4 linked regions of the Drosophila melanogaster genome follow. The protein of the gene in region 2 interacts with the protein of the main gene of each other region in a pairwise test. Each region holds a gene or a part of one and is shown on either strand. Other genes may lie near its edges. The genes, in order: CG7987, Neto, CG4367 and KLHL18.

Evidence for each region.
Region 1: the proteins of Neto (region 2) and CG7987 interact in a two-hybrid assay, tested with the Drosophila melanogaster proteins (one large-scale study listed by BioGRID).
Region 3: the proteins of Neto (region 2) and CG4367 interact in a two-hybrid assay, tested with the Drosophila melanogaster proteins (one large-scale study listed by BioGRID).
Region 4: the proteins of Neto (region 2) and KLHL18 interact in a two-hybrid assay, tested with the Drosophila melanogaster proteins (one large-scale study listed by BioGRID).

Annotation. Positions count from the first base shown.
Region 1 is NT_033777.3:14,569,338-14,577,914, reverse strand, and holds CG7987 (uncharacterized protein), read left to right. Parts: upstream 1-2,027; 5' UTR 2,028-2,144; intron 2,145-2,855; 5' UTR 2,856-3,041; coding exon 3,042-3,367; intron 3,368-3,432; coding exon 3,433-4,189; intron 4,190-4,280; coding exon 4,281-4,705; intron 4,706-4,777; coding exon 4,778-5,492; intron 5,493-5,553; coding exon 5,554-7,182; 3' UTR 7,183-7,443; downstream 7,444-8,577. Other genes in the region: CG44094 (uncharacterized protein), read left to right, coding at 1,304-1,576; Cys (Cystatin-like), read left to right, coding at 8,307-8,491, 8,550-8,577.
Region 2 is NC_004354.4:13,443,690-13,449,706, forward strand, and holds the start of Neto (neuropilin and tolloid-like), read left to right. Parts: upstream 1-2,213; 5' UTR 2,214-2,588; intron 2,589-6,017.
Region 3 is NT_033777.3:20,302,739-20,306,943, reverse strand, and holds CG4367 (uncharacterized protein), read left to right. Parts: upstream 1-1,966; 5' UTR 1,967-1,988; coding exon 1,989-2,162; intron 2,163-2,223; coding exon 2,224-2,742; 3' UTR 2,743-2,989; downstream 2,990-4,205. Other genes in the region: CG4362 (uncharacterized protein), read left to right, coding at 28-400, 468-631.
Region 4 is NT_033777.3:12,006,597-12,012,843, reverse strand, and holds KLHL18 (kelch like family member 18), read left to right. Parts: upstream 1-2,409; 5' UTR 2,410-2,470; coding exon 2,471-2,602; exon of another isoform or gene 2,603-2,679; coding exon of another isoform or gene 2,680-2,700; coding exon 2,701-3,554; intron 3,555-3,616; coding exon 3,617-3,875; intron 3,876-3,948; coding exon 3,949-4,431; 3' UTR 4,432-4,481; exon of another isoform or gene 4,482-4,743; intron 4,744-4,915; 3' UTR 4,916-5,368; downstream 5,369-6,247. Other genes in the region: GCC185 (GRIP and coiled-coil domain containing 185 kDa), read right to left, coding at 1-1,661, 1,722-1,821, 1,884-1,913.

The sequences.
Region 1 (8,577 bases), on a different chromosome or scaffold from region 2:
ATGGTATTCCCGTATTTTCTTTAGTGCATTTCACACAAGCGCTGAAATTCAAATTCGAATTAAACGCATTCCGGAGAAGAGCAGGCATGCAAAACGCGTAGCCCGCAGATCAGCAGCGAGATTAAAAAAGGGGGCGAGGGAGTGTGGGGGATCCCGCAGATTGCATAAATGACGACCATTTGCAACAGCATTTAGCATGTAGCATTATGAAAAGCCCTCTTTGCATTTAAGACACGCATCTTGCATATTTCGCCTTGATGTTGATCGACAGTTTGACATTTTATGTCGTCGCCGCCTGTCGAAAGGACGGCGGTTACTTTTCACTTGTTTTCAGTTTCAGTTGATTTTTGCAATGCAATGCAATGGGATTTCATTACAAAAAAAAAAAAAAACTAAGAAAAACAAATCCCATTAAAACTCACCCAATCCGACCGCTAGGTGGCGCGCTAATCTTGTTGATCCAATCTCGATTGTTTTCCCTTTTCCAGAGCAACAGAAACACAAATAGCAATGGAAACACAAACACACAATGGTAAACAAATACGGAATTCCAGTCACGAGCACTTTTCTCGACTTTTTTTTGGTTCAGTTTTTCCGCTGCACTCGGCACAGTATAAAATACACACGTATATTGGCTTGTATATTCGGGGAGACTATGGCCAACCGATCCGATCCGATCCACGCCAAAGCCAAAACGAAAATTAAATAGCCGCTGCTCGTTGGCTGCCTGCGTTTCTGTTTCTGCTCTGCCCAGCGGAGCAATAAAAATAAAAGCAGAGCAATCGGGAAACAACAACAACAACAACAACACTGGGCTGGGGGAGGGGTGGAAAAGTTTGGCGCGCTTTGGCGCTCGTTTGCATATGTGTGGGTAAATAGTGTGCTCTTTAAATTGCGGGGGTAAGAGAGAAAGTCGAAAAAGAGAGAGTGCTTTCTCTTTTGGAGAGGGAATGGAAATATCGAAATTTATATATGAACAAATCTCTAACGGGATCTTGCAGGTGCAGGATCTGGGGCGACATCTGGCGGGATCTAGCCGATTAGCTGAGTTATGGGTATCTAAGGGTAGCTTTCCCTCTTGTTTAAGTAAATTAACTTTACTATCATGTCCAGTTAACCCAGGCTAAATACTTTTTTCCTATAGGGTTAAAAATAAAATGCCCACCTCTACGCATTTACGCGAATTTAAATATTAGTTCACTCCGCAAAACACCTGAGCAAATCTTTGCATTGGCTTGACTCCAACCACAAATTTTTGAATTTATACGAATATGATTTAGTCACATATCTGTTGTAGTCCAAAATGGTCTCGATTAAGTTTATTTTGCTGTTTTTGGTCTTATTCTATTTCCAAGACGGTATTTCGGCCGTGACCTGTGATCTTGCCCCCACAGATGCCAGCTGCATAGACTGTCGGGTTTACCCCACTCACATTGAGTGCTTGCAGAGATTTTGGGCGCCAACTACAACTGCAGCGCCACTGATCGTAGCCACCACCAAGAGGTCCCGAATCGGCAGGATTCGCAACTTCTTCAGCAGTTTTCTCACACGAGTCAGAAGTAAAAGTTGGTTCTGAGATATAAGAAATTACATTTTAAAGAAAGTAAAAGAAATAAATAAATTTGCTTCCGCATCAGGAACTTGTTTGTGTTAAAGGGCGGCTTATAATACAAAACAGTATTAAAAATATTTCAAGTGGTTTCCAAAAGCGTCTGAACAAAACTCGTTTTCAAACTGTAAAGGAAGTGATTTTCTAATGAACTTAAAGGATTCATCAATATATTACTTATTCTTGATTTCTTGTTCAGCCTTTTGTTTTTCAACACGTGTTTATCAACAAATTAGTATTAAGAAAATCTATAGCAAATTTGAAATCCAATGAATAGACGCTATATTTTACAACCGCTACTTTACAGCACTTTTTGCCGTTAACATTGAACTATTTTATTGGATGTGGCATCGCCGTCGGCAGGTGGCAGCCCCCACCGAGCCGAGAATAGCAGTGGGAAGAAGAACAAGAACGGGCAACGCAATGGCAATTCCTCTTTCTCCGGTCGTTCGTGAACATTTTGCGAGAAAACTTTTCGCCGCATTTAAAAACGTTAAAGACGAAGCATGCGAACGGCATAAACACTGGATTTAAGGTAAAACAACGCAGCAACAGTACTTAGTGGACGGTAGACCTATTTAACCTCAAAATGACACCGACAAACTCGGCTGAAAATTAAAAATAAAATATTCCAAAGTATCGGCTGTGCAAGAATTTTGGGCGTGTGATGTGTGATGTAATAGCGTGGCCGCAATGGCTGTTACCGTCTGTGGCTTTTTTTCATATAAATTAATTGGCCAGCTCTTTGTTTACGTTTACGCCAAGCTTGCGGTCTGGAATATAAATAAAAACGCCGACTTAACCTCATTTATGGTCCAAATTGGTGTTTATAAGTTGGAATATTTTGCATGTAAAAAAGCTTAGACACGAACATTGCTGTCAGGATAGGCGAGTGCCGTGAGTGGAAGCGAGATGACTAGTGTGTGCGGCGGTTGGAAATCAGTGGTGTGCAAATTTTCAAGAACGAAAATGCTAGATTCAAAATATTTTATTTTATGTGCTAACACTTAACATGTCATTAAAATTGTTAGCAGTCTCAGATACATCCGTTTAATTTGAATAATTTTCTTTTTTTAAAGATACAAAAGAATAGTTATTTCCAACAATTCAATATACAAAATTTAATCTAAGTCAAAACTATGTACTATGTGTAATATTAATACAAGCATTCTTCTGACCAGTAGTTCAGTTAATTTGTATTTTGCAATTCATTATATTTTATTATCTAGCTATTTTTTTTTTAAAGTAACTATTGAATGTCATCGACCAAAGATCTGGCAACGCCGTAGTCGCTCTCCCTCTCCCACCGTCTTCGGCCTTTTTGAGCACATGTGCCACCGATTGTTGCTCGCAACGGATATTTTTGTGCCTCCCGTTTGTTTATGTGTGCAACGAAGTGAGAGAACTGCATATTTTGCAGGGCTAGCGAGTGATGAACAACCAGCGATATGGCGGCATCCAGTGGATACAGCACCACGTTTCCGCGGGCGACTCCTCCGAGGTGGACATCCTGGAGTCGGATGGTGGAGCAGGGGCCTCGGGTGAGGATCTGGACCATGTGGCGGCCGAGAATCTTATATTCATGGCCCGCGACGGTCAGCTAAGTGAGATAATGGCTGCCAACGAAGCTGGTAGAACGGTCCTGGTCACCGCCGACGGCACCACGGTGGCCTATGCGGAATCCTTCGACGATGACGCCCAGGTGGTCACCGAGGAGGTAATCACAGACGACTGGGTGCAGCACCAAGGCGCCGAGCGGTAAGTTTTGCCCTACTATGCATCTTTTGAAGTTTTTCCTATTGATTTTCTTTCCCGATTTTCAGAGTGGAGATTGCTGCCGAGCAGATAGCTGGGATTAGCAGCTCACAGGAACTGCTGGACATGGAGCAGGATGAGTACACTGCGCTGAGGCCCTATCCCTGCGACTTTTGCAGTCGGCGCTTTCGCAAGAAGGCCACCTTGAATAACCATATGCTGGCCCACCAAAATGATCGACCGCACCTCTGCAAGCTGTGTGGAGCGCGATTCTCACGACGAGCAGAGCTCATTAGTCACTTCAAGGCCCACGCAGAGGCCCAGGATGCCGCCGATGCCGAGGCAGCAGCGGCGGCAGCCGATTCGTCTTCTGCCATTAAATTCGAGCATCAGACGCAGCGGCAACTGGACGATCACTACTACGAGCAGGAATGGCCACTCTTCCAACATCAACAGGAGCAGGAAAACGCGCAACAGAATGTCCATCAACAGCATCAGATTGTGGAAGAGGGCGGGATTCAGCTGGTGGCCAGTTACCCAGACACGGTAGCTCAACCAGCAGCTCCGTCGCGAGGCAGAATCAGTCGGTTGAAGCCCAAGGAAGAAAGCAGCCAGTTCATTGTGATTTCCGACAAGTCGGTGGAGGACTCTAGGCCATACATGGAGCCTGAGCCGGCTCAGCCTGTGGTTACCACGTCGGAGTTTATTGCTGTCGAACCGCCTCCTCAGCCAAACTTTCCGGTGCTGGATCACAGCAAACCTTTTGTGTGTCAGCAATGCGGATTGGCCTTTGCGCGGGAAAAGGCACTAGTTTCACACACCAAGGTAATACTCAACTCGAAATTTTTCCCTAAAACCAGCTTAACCAGTTCATTGACAAAATCATCCACTAATTATTCCTTTTTTTCTTCGTTAGAATCACCGCGTGGACTCACCGTTCGAATGCAACCAGTGTCAGGAGATGTTCTGGGACAACAGCAGCTTGCAGGAGCACCAGAAGACTCATCAGTTCGAGGAGAGCAACTCGGAGTACGATCCTGCCTCAGCGGAGGAGAGCGGCAGTGAATCGGAGGCAGACGAGCAGTTGTATGGCGAATTCTATTGCAACGAATGTGGGATCTCTTTTCATCGCCAGGATCTACTGCGACGTCATGCCAAGATGCACTGTAAGCCATCGGATCAGGCAGCTGTTGGTAGCAATTCCGATGTCACTGCTGGCGGAGACGTGGAGCTTGCCAAAGATTCTTCTGGTCACTGTTGCAACACTTGCGGAAAGTCCTTTCCTAGCGCTTTAGAGATGCTCGCCCATGCAGAAATCCATGCTAGGTTCCCGCCCTTCAAGTAAGTTCGGTCAAATGAACTTGATCACGAGCAGAAAACCGCATTTTAAAGGCTCATTTTGAATAACTTCAGGTGCGTCCTATGCGGCATTAGCTTTTACGAGGAGCAGGCGATTAAGCGTCACCTGCACACTCGCCATCCCAGTGAATTGAATGCCAATTCCTGCGTTCTGTGCGGCAAAGAGTGCCGCGATCGCAAGGCTCTGATAAAGCACGCCTGGGACCATTCGCGCGAGAAGTGCCATTCGTGCTCCAAGTGCGGAAAGAACTTCCACAACAAAGCGCGTCTAAAGCGGCACATGGCTTCGCATCGGGACAAGTCGGTTGTATGCGAGGTGTGCCAGGAAGAATTCCCCGACGGTCGTACGCTCTCCAACCATCGACACTCGCACAGCACTACTACGCCTGGCAAGCTTTTTCCGTGCCTCGAATGCGGCAAGACATTTGGTTCGCGCAGTTCCCAGCAGATTCACGTACGGATCCACACCGGTGAGCGGCCATATGGCTGCCGCTACTGCTGGAAGGCTTTCGCGGATGGTGGTACTCTGCGGAAGCACGAGAGAATCCACACCGGCGAGAAGCCATATGCCTGCTCCGTCTGCCCACGCGCCTTTAACCAACGGGTAGTGCTGCGGGAACACATTCGCTCCCATCATTCTGGGCTGGATGTAGCGCGGAACACCTATCACTGCACAGTCTGTTCCGAAGACCTGGCATCGTCCAATGACCTTATTCAGCACCTGATCCAACACAGTGATTCAAACACAGCTAAGCAGCGACAGCCCGTTGTAAGTAAAATCCTTTGTTTCGAGAGACTTGATAAATTAAAAGAATTGAATTGTTTTTTAGACGGGACCGCGCAAGTACAAGCGTCGCCGTAAGCTACAGCCTCACGAGATCGCTCACATGCGGGCGGCGAACAAGCATGTCAACGGTGATGAGGAAGAGGCCATAGGAGAAGGCGATGCAGAGGAGTGTGCCAGTGACATCGATTTCTGCGACTTTGATGTGGAGAACGTGGACGATATCTTCGACATGGCCGAATCACCCAAAAAAGAAAAGCGAAAGAGGGGCTCGGCAGCCACAAAAGCTGATGCCAAACCCGTGACCAATGGGAAAGCGGCAAAACCTGCCCAAGATAAGGGCAAAGCTAAGCCAAGATATGATTCCACCAGCAGTCAGCAATCGGATCGCCTTTGGGAGGAAAAGTTCCTGCACGACAGTCAAGTGGCTCTGTTTCAGATCGATTCGCTGGTAGTGGTCAACGACACTCATTTGCAGCCTGCTAGCTCCGCTGTGTCTGCTAACATACCCAACACAAGAGGTGGATCGAAGCAGCAGGGAAAAGTTCAGGCGAAGTCTGTAGAAGGAGCCGAAAATTTGAATAGCTCAGCTACCACATCTGACACTACATTCTCCGCCTCCACCTCCACTGCCAGCACTCGGAGCCGCAAGAGGGCAGCAACCACTAAAACAGCCAGCAAAGCACCTCCTGCCAGTAATTCGCGACCTCGAATGATTCACACAGAGAAAGCCAAGGTGACAAAAGGAGTTGGCGGAGACTCCACTAGTAGTTCGGCAAAGAAAACGCGCTCGAAGACCTATATAAGTCGCACGGAGTCGCACAATCTGAGCCTCGACAAATCCCGCAGCAGTGCCTCAAATATGGTGGATGACTATGAAATCATTTCTCCAGCTACTCATCCGCCAAATCAGATCAGCTCCAGTCCCTTGCACATCAAACAGGAGCAGGAACAACAACAGCGTGTTCAACTTATGTACGATGATAACCTACTGATAGATGCTGCTCTGCTCAGGGAGAAGACTTATGAGAAGTTTAATCCGAGCATTGTTAATGATCTGGAGGAGATCCTCCGCTCTCCACTGAAGCACGAGAGAAATTCTCGTCTTCGCTTTACCAGCGAGTCATCCACCACGCCACAATATTTGCACGAAGAGGAGCAAAACCTTATAAAAATTGAACCAACTTCTCCGGATCTGCGGGAAATGTTGGAGGGTCAGCAAAGAGTCATCGCTCATAGCGGCAGCACTCCTTCGTCCTCTTCATCTGCTAGAACTTCCAGACATCTGCGACAAATCACTGCCAATGGTGCACGGGCAGGCAGCAAGAGAACAACAGGTGGCGTAGCCAGCAAGACGTCGGCATCCCCGGGAGTGGTGGCCAAAAAATCGAACACTGCCACCAAGGTGAGCAGCAGCAGCTCATCCTCGTACCTCTCGTACGGGGTGGATTCCTACAATGTAAACGTACCTGCCAGTGCCAACAACGGCGATGTGGGCAGCGGATTCTTTTCCATCTCGGAGGTCGTTTCCGCAGCTGACGCCGCGGATGCGGCTGCTAAAGCGGCGGCAGCTGGTAAATCGGAGCGGAAAACTCGCAGTTTCGAGTGCGAAATGTGCTCGGCCATCTTTTATGATCGCACCCAGCTGCTGGAACATGTGCACATTCACATTTAAATGGAAGCTACCTAAACCACTCGCCCGGAGCCTTGTATTTTTGAAACATCTTATCCTTATATACAAACAAAATCGGAGTAAATTACCTCAAGGTATCGTGCATCGAAAAATATCGTTGATTTATGCGTTATTTAAAATATGGAACCTAAACCTATTATAGAGAGAATAGTTCGTAAGGCTTTTAAGTTTGTACCTCAGCTTTTGTTTTGAAGAATTGGTATGCTGGAATAAATACATCATTAAATGGTTTTTCATTACCTTAAATTTTGCTATCACGTATAGATTGAATCTGATTGATAAGATGGGCTCATGTAACCTTTTCTGATGTTTGAAATCTCTCCTAGAAATCTTAAATTTTCTTGGAAACTGCGATAGTGGCATGTAATATACTTTTTATAATTGGTTAAATGTTTATAAACTTGCACATGTGGGTCTTAATACATATCGACTGACCTTTGTAGTACATACTCATAGAAACACTGATAAGAGCATACCGGAAGTCTGTGTGTAATTTGAAGCCATGATTATATGTTTTCATATGTGGTGTACGGTGACTTGTTTTCGGCTCATTTGCACAGATTTTCAATTAAAGCCGCAACTGCTAACTGAAGTAGAGATCAAAACGATTCTCACAGAAAAGCGGCTTTCGCCCATCTGATAAATCAATTAATTACCGCCAATGAGCCGTATTAGAATATAAGTAAACGATTTCATTTGCATATGCATATTTATTAATCATGGAAATAGATTCTTATTTAAAGGGGGCGCACCTTTGAATATTGACTATAAATATTTGAATATTGACTATAAATATTTGGATAGTAGCTGCGAAAATATCAGGACACGTAGATACCGTAGTTTATGTTCTAAAAAAAAATATTTCGAATCTTAAAACTATTTTTTCACTTATTTTGCCTTTCTAAGCAATTTTCTTAAATATTGTAAACCCCGAGTGAGGTTCTGGTTATTGATAGTTCTGATGATGGGCCAGTCAAGTCTTGGATCGATGGCATAGAGAGCCTATTGTATTTTTCCATTGTTGATCTCCCACTGAGATGGCAGGTATAAAATGGGCCACATCGCCGGGTGTTCATCAGTTCTCTCAGAGTCGTCGAGCGAGCAACATGAACGTAGTAAAATCTTTGTGTATTTTGGGTCTGGTTCTCGTCAGCTTGATTGCCACCCAAGCAGCCGATGAGCAGGTGGTAGGCGGTGTCAGCCAGTTGGAGGGAAACAGCAGGAAGGAGGCTCTGGAACTTCTGGATGCCACTCTCGCACAGTTGGCCACCGGAGATGGTCCCAGCTACAAGTGAGTTAGAACTGAGTTCCGAATTTAAAATTCATACTAATTGATCTGCTGATCTTAGGGCAATCAATGTGACCTCTGTGACGGGT
Region 2 (6,017 bases):
CCATATCCTGTGGCCTCGCACAATGCGGCTTTTGGTCTCAGTTGTCCTAGGTCCTTCTCCTTTCAGCTTTCTCCATTCTCCATTCTCCGTTGCCCTTAGTCCCAGATCCTGCTGCAAAAACGCAGCCATGGCGCTGCTTTTTGTCCCTTTGCTTCGCAGGCAACACTTTTTTACGCTGGAATTTCAAGCTGGCAGACTCAAAGGATACTCTTTGGTTAAGGTTAATTGGGTATTAATGTGATTACATCGATTTTAAGTCACAGCTGACGGCTTGTTATAGTTTGCATTCGAAACATCAGTTTATTTTATATTATTTTGCAAACGTGCTAAGCTTGGGAGAGGTAATGAAAATAATGACAACTTCTCTTTTGGTTTGCCTTTCGTTTAAAACTTAATCAGGTTATCAAGTAAGCGTAACTACAACCTACAATTGGAAATTTTATATGTTTTTGCAATAATAAACATCAGATTGTTGGTTATACTTTAAGGTTTCCATCAGCTTAATAATCAATTTAATTTAAGCAGCTCGAGCAATGACATAGATTTTAAAATTGGTTAATTTGAGAGAGTATTAGATGATAGGCTTCTACTTTTATTTGAGGTGTTTAACGCGTTCTGTCATAGCAACGCTTCGAAAGCTAATATAAAGGCAATTAAGAGTGTCTGGAGAAACTTCACGTAATCTGCGGGATCTCAAGTTATTAAAAATATGTTGTAATGAAGGGAATGTAGTTTTTAAGAGACCACAGAAGTCGTTTTTTTTTTTTATTTCGCACACATTTCGTACAATGTATGCAAACGAATCGCAAAGGAAATATCAAATCGCTTGAGGCTTTAAGAAAACCACATTCACAACAGTTTCCACAGTCTGTGATCCAGGCATGTCATTTGACATTTCACCAAAAAAAAAAAAACGAAAAAAAAGAAGAGAATAACAACAAAAACACAAAGAAAGCAAAATATAACCAAAGCAAATAAAATAAAATATTTTGCGAAGAAGCCGAACAAAAAATGAAGACAGACTTTGTTGTCCTTGTCAGCGTGGCTACAACTTCCTTGGCCCAGGACGACGTCGGAAGTGCCAGCGGAAATGAGTAAAAAACCTACAACTCACTCAAAATTCCCGCTCACTCCCATCTCACTCGCACTCGAACAATGGGAAATTCCGTTTCGAGTGAAATTTTGTGCCACAAACGAACGCACTTCGGCTGCTTTCGGCCATCGCCTCGTATTCCCACTCACTCGACATTGAGCGTTTGTGGAGCATCCTCAGAGATGCCAAATATTTTGGGGGGGAAAAAAAGCTGAAAATAATTATTTTCCAATTTCTTAAGGTTCGCATGAAACCCGTATACTTGCATCATTGTTTAACGTTTTGGTGAAATGTTGTGATAAAATGAGTTTAAGTTTTAAAATAAATCGCACTATTTTTTGGCTCTTTACCATATCAAAATGTATATACTAAAATGAGCTTGAAAGTGGGCGGCGAAAATATGTTGATGTTAAGAAATGCATCTGGATATCGAGCAGACGTTTCCCATAATTTATTTTTATTAAGTTTTTATTTCTTAATCTCTATAGAAAAGCAAGATATTATAGATCACTGTCAGTTTTCATATTCACATCCGTAAATCTAATAGGAAACAATTTTTGTTTAAAAGAAATAATTAAAAGCTAAGATCCGTCATAAATAGTACTGTCAATTTGAGAGGCTAGAAAAATAAGATAATACATATCAGCTTATAATTTTTAAATTTCTTTTCGGGAAATTAATTTTTAAGCGTGGGAAATGGACAAAAATTGCTAGATTCTCGCAAGTATTTTATTTTATGGTGTGATATTCTTCTAAAATTAGATATTTTTATTAATACGTATTTTTTTTTTTAACAAGTGGAATCCAATTAGTTTGTTTTATTATGTTAATGATTGTTAGTATTAAAAAAAAAACTTCTATAGATATTGGGCAAACAACTCAATCAATTTTAGGTAGTAACATAATAAAGTAATAAATACGAATACAATTCTTTTTGGTTGATAGAAAAGAATAAGACAGTGAGCGGCTGGAAAAACTAGCCAGAGTTGTCGGGAAAGCCGGCTAAGTAAGCAGCACTGGCGGGTCGACAACAGCAGTGGCAGCATCCGCCGTGGCAGCGGCAACAGTCGAGCGGCAGACTCGATGCAGCAGAGCCACAAATTCCGGCATTACGTATACGCCCAGTCTACGTCGAGTTGGCCACGTGTACGGACACGCGGCGCGGTTCGCTTTCTCCGGTGACAGCACATTCGATATTAACGTTTCACTACCAAAAAAAAAAAAACATCGCGATTGGTTGCTAATAGACAAGCACCAGAGATACGATTTTAAAATCTTAAGGTTTTGCTTTTGTTCAAAAGAAATACAAATTTTTTTGTTTGGTTGTTTGTGTGACAGTGACAGTGCCAGTGTGAAAGTGTGTGTGTGTGAAAAGCTTGCCGGCTTGAAAAATGCGCGCCAAAAATTGAGATATTTTCGCGGAGCGCAGCGGCAACAAAAACAAATAAAAACAACATTTCGCAACGCAGCCAAAGGAGGCGACAACACGCAAATAGTAATATATACATATATATATAAATTAAACATATGCACATATACATATATATATTAGATGGCAGCTTTGCAATGTAAACAAATTATATTTCCGTGTTTTCTTAAAATAACAAATCTATTTGCCGATATTTACCAATTAATTAGTGGGCTAGTGACAATATTAAGTTGCAAAGGATAACAATTATAAAATAAATACGTATACTGCTGCATTCCGCATAATAGGCAATAAATATGTTTGCGAATATATTAATCAAATCAAGGCATTATGGCTGTGGTAGCTGAATGAAATTTGCATAAATCAAGCTTCAATGATCCAGAGGGCACATTAGTCTCTTTTAGCCTGTAGTTGTAAAAGTTGTTCGGTTTTAGCCAACAAAATGGAAATGAAAAGGCAAAAAGTGGATGTGTCATAAAAATTCCTTTTGCACAGAAGGCGTCCATTATGCGGATTCTAAAGCAATATTAAAATAATCTCTAGTAATTTCCTAGTAAGTGCCCACTTAAATGAGTTTTTCTTTTTTATTAGTGCGCTTTAAGTCTTTGATTTTATTTTAATGCGTCTTGGGATATATTTATACATATTATTAATTGTTAATTTGTTCAGCAGTTTTAGATCGAATATACTTGCGATTAAACATTTCTAAACATTTTGAAAAGTGTTCGATTTTTTGTTGTTTTTATTATTTATCTCATATAAGCTACAATATATGTTGAAAGATTTCGAATGAATGTTTAATTTAAACTATTTTGTCGCATTCGTTTGGAAACTTCGACCGTATTTTCTATGTATCCCGTATAGATAAGTTTGGGGCCACTTAGCGAATTGGCGGACATATTTTTAGACATAGCCCAAATAGTAAAAAAACAAGAGCAGAACGAGTAAGCGAAGAGGGGAAAATTGTATAAAAACCAAAGACACGAACGCAGAGGCTATAGAGAATTGGTGAAAAATGAGAGAAATTCATTAATAAAAGACAGCAACAAAAACAAGAGCAAAAATTAAACGGCTGCCATCAGGCTTTCCCACTTCTCTCACCAATTTTCCCTTTCGTTTTCCCGCTTTTCCTTGTCCACGGCACAGCTGTGATCACACGAAGAGAAAGAAAAAACAGAAGAAAATTCGGAAAAAAATGAAAATAAAAATTATTACATATGCGTAATGGGTATTTTGTGTTGTTGCTGCTGTTATTGAAGAAGATTTTCCAAGCTACAACTACAACAATTCCGTTAGCGCCAACTTTGACGAAGGTTTTCCATCGGCTTTTCTTTAAATACCCTCGCGAATACGCAGTGTATGGATTAGGGATTGATGAACTATGCTATTAGGTTAAATAAAAATATACTCCGCAAAACAATAATAATCATTTGGGCTTGCAAAACTGAATGCAATCTTTATTTATTGCATTAGTAGATTGAATAAATTAATTGTTTACGGGGTATTGTGTTGGTTGTTAATTGTCCATTAACTTAATTTCCCAGTGTTTTCTCTGTTTTGTTGCCGTCTCAATGAATTCACTAGACTTCCAATCGTCCCATCTCTTTCGCATGCTGTGCAGCCATCTCTCTCTATCGGTGGCTGACAAAGTTTTGCATTATGTTCATCTCGTCTGTCGCTCTTCTATATCCCATTCCCACATATGTGGCTCAAGGCTATCTTATACACGCACTTTCAGCGCCCTCGTCGATTTCTTAGTTTTTCTTCTCATTTTCCATTCATTTTTGCTGCTCCCATTTCGGTTTTCTTAAATTTTTTCAGCATGTTGCCCTCATAAATTTGGGCGAGGCAAACAAAATTTTTGTGGTAAACTTTTATTCACGAGGGTTTTTTTTATTTTTGAAGGGAAACTTCGATGGTAATTAATGGCATGTTGACCAGCTGGTCAAATAGGGAAAAGGATTATTCCTGCCTTTTAAGGACTAAAGTAAAGGATGAGTTCTTACTCCAAAAGAAAGCTTAAATCATATTATTTTCTTCTTCTGTGTATTCTTATTTTGTTCAAGAAGAATGTATCCAGCATTCAACAATTACAAATCAATGTTTAATAGCAATATTTATTTGTACTCCGTATTTTCTGAGTGTGATTATATTGTTGTTCAGATTTTCTCCATTGATTTTAATTCAACCATTTCGTTTTTGTGATCCTTTTAATTTTCTTAGCCATGTTGTAATTTCCCTTCTAGTTTTTCCACATTGGACTCCATTTAGTTTTATCTCTCTGCAGCTGTGCTGAGATTAAATTTTGTTCAATTTTTGTAACCATTTATTTCAATAAAATTAAGCCAAAAGTTTTTACAGTTAAGCCCAAACTTCCTTTGGCGATTTCGGTTAGCTTAACTGCTTTCCGCCTCCTTTGACCACCCATTTCCTTTGTGTCCCGAGCAACAGGTCCTCTCTCATTTGCTGGGATTTCTTCTTATTTATTATTTGTGTCTGTCCACAGTGTTTTCATTTCTTTCCCCGTATTATTTTTGGCCGCAAAAAAGTCTGATCTTAAAGCCTTTTTGCATTGTGCGGCGATTTTCGCAGCAATTTCCCGTGGAATGTGAAACTAATTGCAGCTGGACTTGGGTGGTTGGAAAACGCAATGGCATACAACTAATCAGAACGGAAAAAGAGCAGAAAAGCCTGGAAATGGGCATGCGAATGGGAATGGGAATGGGCCATTTTTTTTCGGGCTGCTGGAAAAGCCAAAAGAAAAACGATTTCAATAAATGTCATAAATTTGCCCGACAACTTTACAAAAGGGGCGGAGGAAGTGGAAAAGCAAAGGAAATGGCTTTTCCACAAACCAACCCGCCGCCTCTCCCCCTGATTATCGTCTGCTTTGCTGTCGGCTTGTAATCGCTTTCATTACAGCAGAAAAAGGGAGAAAAAGAAAACTGACCAAATATAATAAAAATAAAAAAAAAAATAAAAGAAAAGAAAAGAATGAAAATCCAGACCCAGGCAGTAGCGAAATGCAAAATGCCATGAAAATGGAAAACCAACATGGCCATTTCCACAAGGAAAGAGACGGCCAGATAAAGTACTGCTTTCACTTTTTGGCTTCTACTCGTTGGCAGTAATTTATTTGATTATTTTTTTCGCATTTTTTTTATTTTTATTTATAATGATGCATTTAAACTGCTGTCCTGCAAATAATAGATCTTTCAAGAATATCTTAACCACTTTACAGCGGTTTCGTTGGGATATTTCTTATCTTTTGTGTATATGTTATTTATTTATTTATTTTTTTTTTACATTGCGGCCACTGCAGAAATTTGGGCCACAACAAAGCCAAAGATGTAAAGTGAAAAATCTCATTTATATATAGGTAAATGTTGTGTGTATCTGCACATTGTCATGGGAGCTGTCGGCTATATGACCTGATTGCGGTTGTGCCTTCAGATCTTAAGTGAAAAGTGAATGTTTCAGGAAATGAAAAACAAT
Region 3 (4,205 bases), on a different chromosome or scaffold from region 2:
ATCAAATATGTTTTCGTAAACCCGCAGACGCAGTCCAACAATGGAGGTCGCTGTGGTCTGTGCGGCGACAACTTCCTGGATGCCCAGCCCCGTGCCAACGAGATCGGAGGAAGCATCGGTGGAGCTGGTGTGGTGACCAGGAGCTACGTGGCTGGCAATACCATCACCGTGGGCGTGAAGATCACCACCAATCACTTGGGTTACTTCGAGTTCCACCTGTGCAACCTGGACGCCTTCGGTGCCGAGTCGGAGGAGTGCTTCGATCAGAACCGCCTGCGATTCATCGATGGAAGCGATAGAAAGGATATCGGCGATCAGATGGGCGAATTCGATGTGACAGTCGTCCTGCCGGAGGGTCTTACCTGCTCTCACTGCGTCCTCCGCTGGACCTATGTGGGTGGTAAGTGGTGGCCAGAACGTAAATGGAACTTAAAGTGAAAATTAATTGAACATCTTGTGCATTTCAGCCAACAACTGGGGCATCTGCGATAATTCCGGAAACGGAGCCTTGGGCTGTGGCCCACAGGAAACATTCAAGAACTGCGCCGATGTGAGCATCTACTGGGGTCGCAACCTGGTCAAGGAATTGGTCGGTGGCGGAGATCCAGTGGCTCCGGTTGAGGTCGCCTGAAAATCCAGACTAAAATTCAACGAACTGCCATTTATGTCTGAAAATGCAAAATGCCAAATAGTCAGCTAAAGTTATTTAAATAAATGAGTGAACATTTACACATTAGTTAATTGGGTCCTTGGAGCTGCTTCCTATTTATAGAAATTTAGTTTTATTTACTGTTTAATTTTGAGATCTTATCCAATTTAGATACATTATTTAAACAGATGTTAGAGATAGACACATCATAACCAATATTTTTTAAGTCCAAAACTATGCAACAAATTGTATAAATCAGAATTTGTTAATGTTCTACGGCCTTCAGGTATACAGTATTTCTGCTAGGTTTTGACCTAAAAAGCAAGCAAAAAAAAATAATAGAAATTTGTTTATATATAATAACAATAATAGTGTGTAAATTGAAGGCGAAGTGGCTTTAAAGAACAGAATTACGTTACTTATAGTTCGATTCTTTTCATTGCAAATTTCAATATTTTGTTCGCTTTCACCTTGATTATTAATGCTTAATTGATGATTCTGAGAACACGTTGTATCGATAAAACAAAAGCATATAACCGCAAAAGTTGACCAAATAGATTGTGTTTATAGGGCAATTTAAATTTATGAAATCTGAAGATAGATATGCATCTTTTTTTGCAGTATGTGCTAAAATATATGTCTTATTTTGAGCCAAAGGGCCATGAAAAAGGAAAATAGTGGCTTCAAAGTACTCGCATGTTTTATCTGGAGGCATCATGGAATAATCGAAACTAAATAATTGCTGATTTATTAATATACGAGCAGCTTAATCCCTGAACTTAAACGTGGCCAATTTTTTTTAGCTGCGCGCAAGTGCTCTAAATTTGTTGTTTAAAAAAACATTTGCGTTTTTGGCTATTGTATGGACCGTACTACAATATATGATTGGCAGAAAAGTGCTGAAGTCAAAACCAACTAAAATAGTAAGTAATTGCACTTAAGAATCGTTGACCTTGGCTAACAAATTTTGCGAAATCGTGAGAATTTTTCCAAGCCTTTGAACTCCTATCAAAATGGCATTGGTGGGCTAAATAATAATAGCATAATAAAGCAGTCTTCCAAGTTATTATGATTAGGTTACCAAAAAATACGGGTATTGCTTAGATGTGTCATATGTGTTTTCACACTTTCCAGGTCAGATACAAGAAATTCTCCCAAATTCTAACTACCAATAACCATAAACGAAATTAAGATTGTGAGCCGATAAGATGCATTCACGGTTATTGGACGAAAAATCAAAAACAAACATAAACTGCCCGGCAACTGATAAGGTTTGGCAATATGGAACTATATAAGGCCACGACCAGTTCGTTTTGGCCACAAAGAAAGTGAAATCAATATGAATACGTATAAATTTATCCTGTTTCTTAGCATGGGTTTTTTAAACCGGATGGGTGAACTGGAGGGCCACGGTATGATGTTAAGTCCAACCGGAAGATCCTCGCGTTGGCGCTACGATAACTCGGCGCCAACAAACTACGATGACAATGCATTATATTGCGGTGGATTTTGGGTAGGAGTGCCTTAAAAAAATTCTATATTCATTTGATTCAATGATGTTCTTAACCCTTTAGAAACAAACCGAAAATGATGGCAAATGTGGACTGTGCGGAGACGACTGGAGCTTGGAGCAGCCGCGACCCAATGAGTTGGGTGGAAAATATGGCAGTGGAGTGATTGTAAAGAGCTTTGCCGGAGTAGATGAAGCGGAAATTAATGTTAAGATCACAGCCAATCATCTGGGCTACTTCCGCTTCCACATCTGCGATTTGGACGAAAATGGCAGCGAGTCGGAGGATTGCTTTAACCAATATCCTTTGAATTTCACCGACGGTAGCCAGAAGTACTACATTAACACCACCACTGGCGATATCCCAGTAACCGTGAAACTGCCCAGTGATCTCAACTGCATTCATTGCGTTTTGCGCTGGACTTACACGGCGGGAAATAATTGGGGTGTTTGTGAGGATGGGACGGGCGCCATGGGTTGTGGGGCGCAGGAAACCTTTATTAACTGCGCTGATATCAGTGTACTATCCTCAGCGAGAAGTATTATCCAGGAGGTGCCCGTGGAGGTGGCGGAATCGAAGTGAGGTGGTTATCATCAGCGGTGGCCAATCGAACAATACTGCTAGTCTCAATAAATTATGTAACTTATTTATTTCTAATTGTTCCAAATTGTTCATCAACAATACGATTTTGTTTTAAGAAAAGGTTATTTTATTACTTCAATTCTTCATTTATGTATTGATTTAACAATACTTGATAAAAAATGCACCTCAAAAAGTTCCATTTAACAATAAGACAATAATAGTTAAGTATTTACGAACCACCATAAATAAATGCCATTTTGAAAATTATGAATGTTTATTTCTGTTTTATTCAATAAATTAATCGTCGTATATATTATTTATACATATATATGAGTGTGTGTTTTGAGTGTGTGTGTGGATTGTTGGTGATGACCGTTCGTCTTTGAGGTGCAGGGCATCGCACTCCCTCCTCCTAAGATGGATCCTACTTATTAAATTCTTGATTCTGAAAGCCCTGTCTTAGACGTGTTCTTAACGATCGGATGAGATTTGCACGGTTGAGTGCTTAAATATTTGTTGTTTTTAAGCTATCCTGTTTATGTTCGTATTTGTATCTTGTATGTTATTTTAATATTCGTAATTTGTCTTAAGTTATTCGTGGCTTACAAAATATGTTTCACATTAACTGGCTTATTAGTTAACTTCACAAATAAGTTGTATGTATATATATATGCATTCTTTTCTTTTATATTTTACAAAGCCTTCAAAAGTCAATTGCAAACGATAAGTCGGTAAATTCACTACAAAACTCAAAAGTCGCGTTTTAAGAATATCTATTGGTTTACGTTTTCCTTTTAACAATTAACTAAACAAACCGCAAACAACAGTGTGTAATCTCGATTGCCACTAATGATGCCATCAATCTGATGTATTTAGATATATATTGAGCTCTATGTTTTGAGGAGAGTACAGATACGGCTTGAAATGCCCTCCTCGATTAAAAACTATAAAAAACACACTCTCCATTATCGTCAAAATGTGCGAATCGCTCACAACTGAATTACAAGTGTTTCAGCCCTTTTTGGGCTTTGTTTCTAAATCACCATCGTTTAAAAGCATTTTAAAATACAGTGGTTGCACTTCGAGAAAAATAGATGTATATTTATATATATTAATGTGGGGGAGGAGGTCCTTCGCTTCTCTACCAAATATTTTGTTATAAAAGCACCTTATAAATTTTACACGTACTCGCAAAGTTTACCCACTTGCCTCGTTTGTATAAATAGCTAAATAGTTCATCTTTCATTTTTACTTTGTTCAAAAATTGTTTTTAACATTATACAACACTATCTGTATTTTTGTTTTCTTTGTAATACCTGAATTTTAGAATTTTGTATCCGAAACGCCTTTTTTGTTGTTTTTTTTTTATTTTGCTGACTGAGTTTGTTCCATTTTTGTTCTCTTTCTTGTAATTGCCAAAAGGTTTTTCAGTATTTCCTGTCATTAATTTCCTTAGTCCGAAA
Region 4 (6,247 bases), on a different chromosome or scaffold from region 2:
TGCTTCAATTTCCAAATTAAGGACACTGGAGTGCTTTACTTTCTCCTTGGACTTTAGCTTCTGGTTTTCAGCTCGAGCTGCATTTAAATCCTGTTGCAGTTGGGCCTGTGCCAACTTGATTGCCTCCAACTCCTCCTTTAGGGCACCGCTCTGTTCCATTTCATTCAGCTGCTGCGTCTGCTCCTGCAGTTTCTTTTTCAGCTTGGCAGCTATGGCTCTGAGCTTATGGTACTTCTCCTCGTAGCCTTCGTCCAGTTCACGCAGGCGGCTTAGTTCTTCGGCTCGTGATATTGTGGATGTCGACAGAACATCACTCTGGGCATCAGCATTCGCCTGCTCCAATTCCTCAACACGGCTCTGGAGTTGTTTGATCTTCTGTAACTTCTCCTGCGCCGCCTGCTGACTATTAGATAGTTGAGCCTCCAAGTCTCGTTGTCGCTTGACCTCCGCTTCGTGCTGTTCTTGAAGGCGTGAAATGGCATCACCGCGTCCTTTGAGCGCCTCGTTCAGTTCCCGCATCTCCGTTAGCAACTCTCCATGCTCTTGCTCCTTGAGGTGGTATCGCGTAAGCAAATCCTCGTTGTGTTGGCGCAGTTCTATGCAGATGGCTTCCAACTCCTGCAACTTCCTCTGCTGATTATCACGCTCCTTTGCAATGACTTTGACCAGATTTTGCATTTGATCAAGCTTGGTCTGGAATAAGCTTACATTAAGGTTCCTGGCGTGATTTTTGGTGTTTTCCTGCTCCTTCGTTACACTTATCAATTGTTCCTTGTCAATTCTATGCTGCTGCTTTATAATGACTGCAAGCTCTTCGAGAGCGGTTATCTTCTTAAGTAGGTACTCCACATTCAAATTGCTCCTTTGGTTCTTTTGCTTCTGCTTCACTATTTTGGCTAGCCGATCCATTTCCTGAACTCTTTGCAGCAAGCGCTTGCGGTCAATTCCAGTGTCAATTGTTTGAGGATTATTGTCTGACTTTCCATTGTTCAGCTTCAGTTTTTCATTCTCGGCCTGCAGGGATGCCATCTTTGCGCACAACAGTTGCGAAGCTTTGATAATCTCCACCTGCCATTTGGAAACGGATGCGGCGTACTCGTGCTGCGTTTCCAGCAGCACGCACTTGCACTCCTTGAGGTTCTTCAACTTGCGGTGTACATCAATGAAGCGGTCCTTTAGAGAATTAAACTTCTTGCGTTGCTCAGAGTTAAGTTCCTTGATGTTTTGGTACTTTTGCTGCAGCACACTCGACTCTTCTTCCATCGTGGCGACTTGCTGGCGAAGACTAGCGTTTTCCGCCTCCGCTTCCTTAATTTTGGCAATGTCCACTTCCAAAAGTTCCAGATTCTTGCGCTGCTCGTTACCCAGAGCATTGACCTGTTGCATAGCCTTTTCCATGCGATCCACATTGGCAAGGAGGGCATCGTTTTCATCACTCAGTCGCCCAAGTTGGCGCTTTAGGCTCTCGTTCTCGATCTCGAATTGCGTCAGTCGATCGGCATCCTCTTTGGTCTTTCGTTTCAGATTATTCACTTCCTCGGTGAGGATGAGGTTCTTATCGGTGAAGTCCTGGACCATTTCCTGCATGGCTGGCAGGCTGCTCTGCTTCTCCGCCGCCCGTTTAAGGGCATCCTTGAGTCGGTGATTTTCCTCGGTGAGTTCTGAAAGAGAGTGGCTTGCATTATTCTGGAAGATTCCCTGAAACTCTCCATCAAACTTACCATCTTTTGCCTGTTTCGCCTTTTTAGCGATGTTGAGCAGGCCTTTGTATTTGCTGATGATTTCATCTTTGCTCAGCGCCTCGATCGGATTCGGGTTCTTCTGCAAATGCAAATAACAAGATGAGACGTCATCATCAATTCTAGCGACACCTTTTTACTCACCTGGGTTTCCCTCGGTGATGCGGCTTCCATGTTACTTGCTATTTTCGTATCCTTGCATTTAATAGCGGTCCAAACATTTATGTCTTAACTCAGATCAGTGGTTTTCCAATTAGCAAGCGACCCAGATTACTCGAAAATGTTTTTGGACCCTTAATCAATCCGAGCGAAGAAAACACTCCAGCCACACTAACAGCTGATAGGGCTGTCATCACCGCCCAATTAGTGATGAGCGTCTTTTTTTAAGAAGGTGACGCAAAAACGGAAAAATTACTAATTAAAATTAAATGAAAGAATAATATTGTCTTAAAAATATGTGCTTTTTAAGGATTTAATTATCACTGTTGCATAAAAAGGGCTCAACTTTTTAATAAGTATTATGAAATTACATTTTGGTCCAAGAACGTTACCTTTAAAATTAAACAATATGATTCAATAAATTTGTTTCACTACTATTGGTGTTGTTCAACTATCGAAGGAACCTCAACTATCGATTAATGTGACCGCTCACCACTGACCACCACTAGCTCTGCAGTACAAGCAACATTTGGCATCTCTACTGTTTATCATTTTCTTGATCCGTTAAAGTGATGGATTTGAGTGATAATAGCCAAGTGGAGGATCAATACTTTGTTTACAAGCATGATAAGCTATTCGGCGAGAGTTTCCCCCTGTTCAAGGAAATCCGCAGGATGGGCAAGCTGTGCGATGTCACCCTAAAGGTTGTTTGCGTGCAGACTGGGGCATTCAATCACCCGCAGCTCAGAGATACGTTCATTATCTAGCGTCTAAATATAAAATGCCATCCCAATTATTGCAGGTTGAAGATCAGACCTTCTCAGCGCACCGCGTTGTGCTGGCGGCCACCATCCCGTATTTCTATGCGATGTTCACCAACAACATGGCAGAGAGTCGGATCAAGGAGATCACCATGAAGGAGAGCGCCATAGAGCCAAGTGCCCTGGAGAGTCTGATCAACTATGTTTACAGCGGCCAAGTGCGCATCGACAACCAGAATGTGCAGAACCTGATGGTGGGCGCCAGCTTCCTGCAATTGTCCAACGTGCGGGATGCCTGTGCCAGTTTCCTGATCTCCCGCTTTCATCCGCACAATGTCCTGGGAATCCGCACCTTCGCCGACTCCATGATCTGCCGGCAGCTAATCGACGCTGCCGACAAGTATATTGATCAAAACTTTGCCAAAGTCTCGCAGTCGGAGGAGTTTCTCGCCCTGGACTGCGAACAATTGCTGGAGCTGATGCGCCGGGACGAACTCAACGTACGCACCGAGGAGGTCATCTTCGAGGCCTGCATGAAGTGGGTCAAGTACGCAGAAGACAAGCGCTCTGAGCTCTTTCCTCAGGTCCTGGCTGCAGTGCGTTTGCCATTGCTCTCGCCTCAGTTCCTGGCGGACCGTGTGGCCCGCGAGGAACTCATTCGATCCTCGCACCAATGCCGTGATCTCCTAGACGAGGCCAAGGACTTTCACCTCATGCCCGAGCGCAGGGGTCTGCTGCAGAGCTTTCGCACGCGCCAGAGATCCGGTGAGTTCTTTACCGGACAAATATACGCCGTGGGAGGACTGGCCAGCACTGGGGAATCTGTGAGCACGGTCGAGATTTACGATCCGCTCACCAAAAAATGGAAAATGGGCGAACAAATGTCCATGATGAGGTGAGTGTGCGAGGAGCATTTATTTCTATTCTATCCCATACTAATTGCCAATTTTTCGACAGATCTCGCGTGGGTGTGGCCGTTCTGAATGGCAAGCTGTACGCCTTTGGTGGATTCAATGGCACCGAACGTCTGTCCACCGTTGAGGTCTACGACCCGCGCAAAAACAAGTGGTCCCAGGGCTGTGCCATGCTCTGCAAACGCAGCGCCGTGGGCGTGGCCGCATTGGATGATTGTATCTATGTGTGCGGCGGCTACGACGGCGTCACGTCGCTCAACACCGTTGAAGTTTACTATCCAAAGTCTAACACTTGGAAGACTGTAAGTAAACAAACATTCTATGTAACCCAGATGGGTAAGAAAACTGATCCAACTTTAATTTCACTACCCGAAGGTTGCTCAAATGATGAAATATCGTTCGGCTGGTGGAGTTACCCAATTGAACGGCTACGTCTACGCCCTTGGCGGTCATGATGGGTTGTCCATATTCGATTCGGTGGAGCGGTACGACCAGGCCGAAGATGTCTGGGTTAAGATGTCGCCCATGCTGAATCGTCGCTGTAGACTGGGCGTGGCCACGCTGAACGGAAAGATATACGTGTGCGGCGGCTACTGCGGCAACTCATTCCTTCGATCCGTAGAGTGCTACGACCCTCAGACGGACACCTGGAAGCTGGTGACACCAATGAATTGCAAACGCTCGCGGGTGGCTCTGGCCGCCAACATGGGCAAACTGTGGGCCATCGGCGGCTATGATGGCGAGTCAAATTTGTCTACAGTCGAGGTGTACGATCCGGAGACCGACAAATGGACCTTTATGCCGCCCATGTGCGCACACAGTGGTGGTGTCGGAGCCGGGGTCATACGGATCGAGTAACCCACTCGATTCGCCTGCCAAACCCGTTTCTCTAGCCACACTCGTCTTAGGTAATTTATGTGAATTGAATCGATATAGTTTAGCCTAGATATGATTGTTGAGGGTAACCAAGCTTTAGTGGCACCTCGTGCGGCCGCCTCGTATGCAACTCAGCTCAGCTCTTGCAGCTCTATCAAAATTGTTCATATACTACTCACAGCTCTATAGATTTTGTCATTCCAGTTATGTAATTGTTTAGTTACTACGCCTAGCCTTAAATACTCATTACAATATTAATCCTCCAAATAAAAACATGTATAACGCATGTTATGTAAAAATTTATTAATGGTTGGTTTATTTTTGTAAGACGGGTAAAATAGTCCTATGTATAACTAAAATCAATTTCACACCAATTTAAATCATATTTTATTTAATTTAATTTAAATTGAACTAGACTCTTAACATTAAAGTTATCTAAAGACGTATTCTTTGTATTCATTTTCAGTCATTACCCTCGCCATTTGTAATCTTGAAATGTTTTAGAAGGTTGTTAAAGTTCAGTAATTTCCTTACAGTAAAGGGACGACTGTCAACCTTTTGCACATCGTATAAATCAATTGTGTTTCGACGATCCATATGGGCGGCGGATACGTTTTATTTGAACAATAATAAATGGTTGACAAATAACAAAGCAATCTGAGCGACAAAAAGGCGAAAATGGCGAGGGCAGCGCAAAAAGTTGATGGTCAATAAGCAGGCCTTTATGGAAGGCAGTGCACTTGTTTATTGTCCCTAAAATACTTTCAGTTTTAATTAAAAATGATTAAATATTATTACCCAAGTCCCAATGTCTATCTACAATTTTCTACTTATTTTGTAACGAATAAATGTACCTTCCCTCGTTGCATCTCAGTTGAACATGCGGAGTATCTCTTCCCTTGATATTTGTACACCTCCCACGCGCGGAATGCAATTTTAAATTCGATTTGCACCACCTGCTCAAAGTGCAGCGGCAGCAAAACTAATTCGGAGCAACAGGTGGCAATGGCGCATCCAAAAATAGAGGCTAACGAAACCAAACCAAAACAAAATCAATTTGCCGTCTATCACTGACCCATAAAATGCCATACGCACAGCAAAGGGTCATAATCCAATCAATTGCACACTTAACGTACATATTTCGCAGTTATCAGATGGTTCCAGCGATGGAGGACCTTATCGCCGATCCGGATACGATCCGGTCCTGTTCCCGATTGCCAATGGCTACATGTATATTTATGTGGCTCTGCAGCGGCACGGCTATTTGCACAAGCGAAAAGGCTTTGTGGCGGCGGTCTTATTTGATTTTGATAATCAAATCACAAATTGCTTGTCTATCGATGGGCAATTTTATTTTAATTAAATGCTAATTATGTTTACCAAATGGTTGGAGTAAATATTTGTTGCATCACCGGGGACAATTGTTTATCACCACCAAACTGGAGCTCGTTTAGTTGGAAATCCGTCTAATTGTTTGGAGGGTGAGGAATTGGCTTTTTTTTTGCCCCGAAATCTGTTGCAATTTAAATGCAAATTTTTCAGCGGGCTCTCTATACACTGTAACATTTACGACTCAATTGCCCGAAAAGGCGGAAGGCAGTCCTGCAAGAAAGGATGCGAAGATAAGATGCCTGCAGGAAGCGGCGATGCTTCCACGTTTAATTTTAGACCGAAAAACTGGCGTTGTAGTGGCTGCAAGTTGCAACGAGCTGGCCCCCGGATGTGTGTGGCATCCACTTGGCCTTTCCGAGTGGCGTGTGGAGGGATTCGCCTGCTGCGGGTGATGCGGGTGATGCGG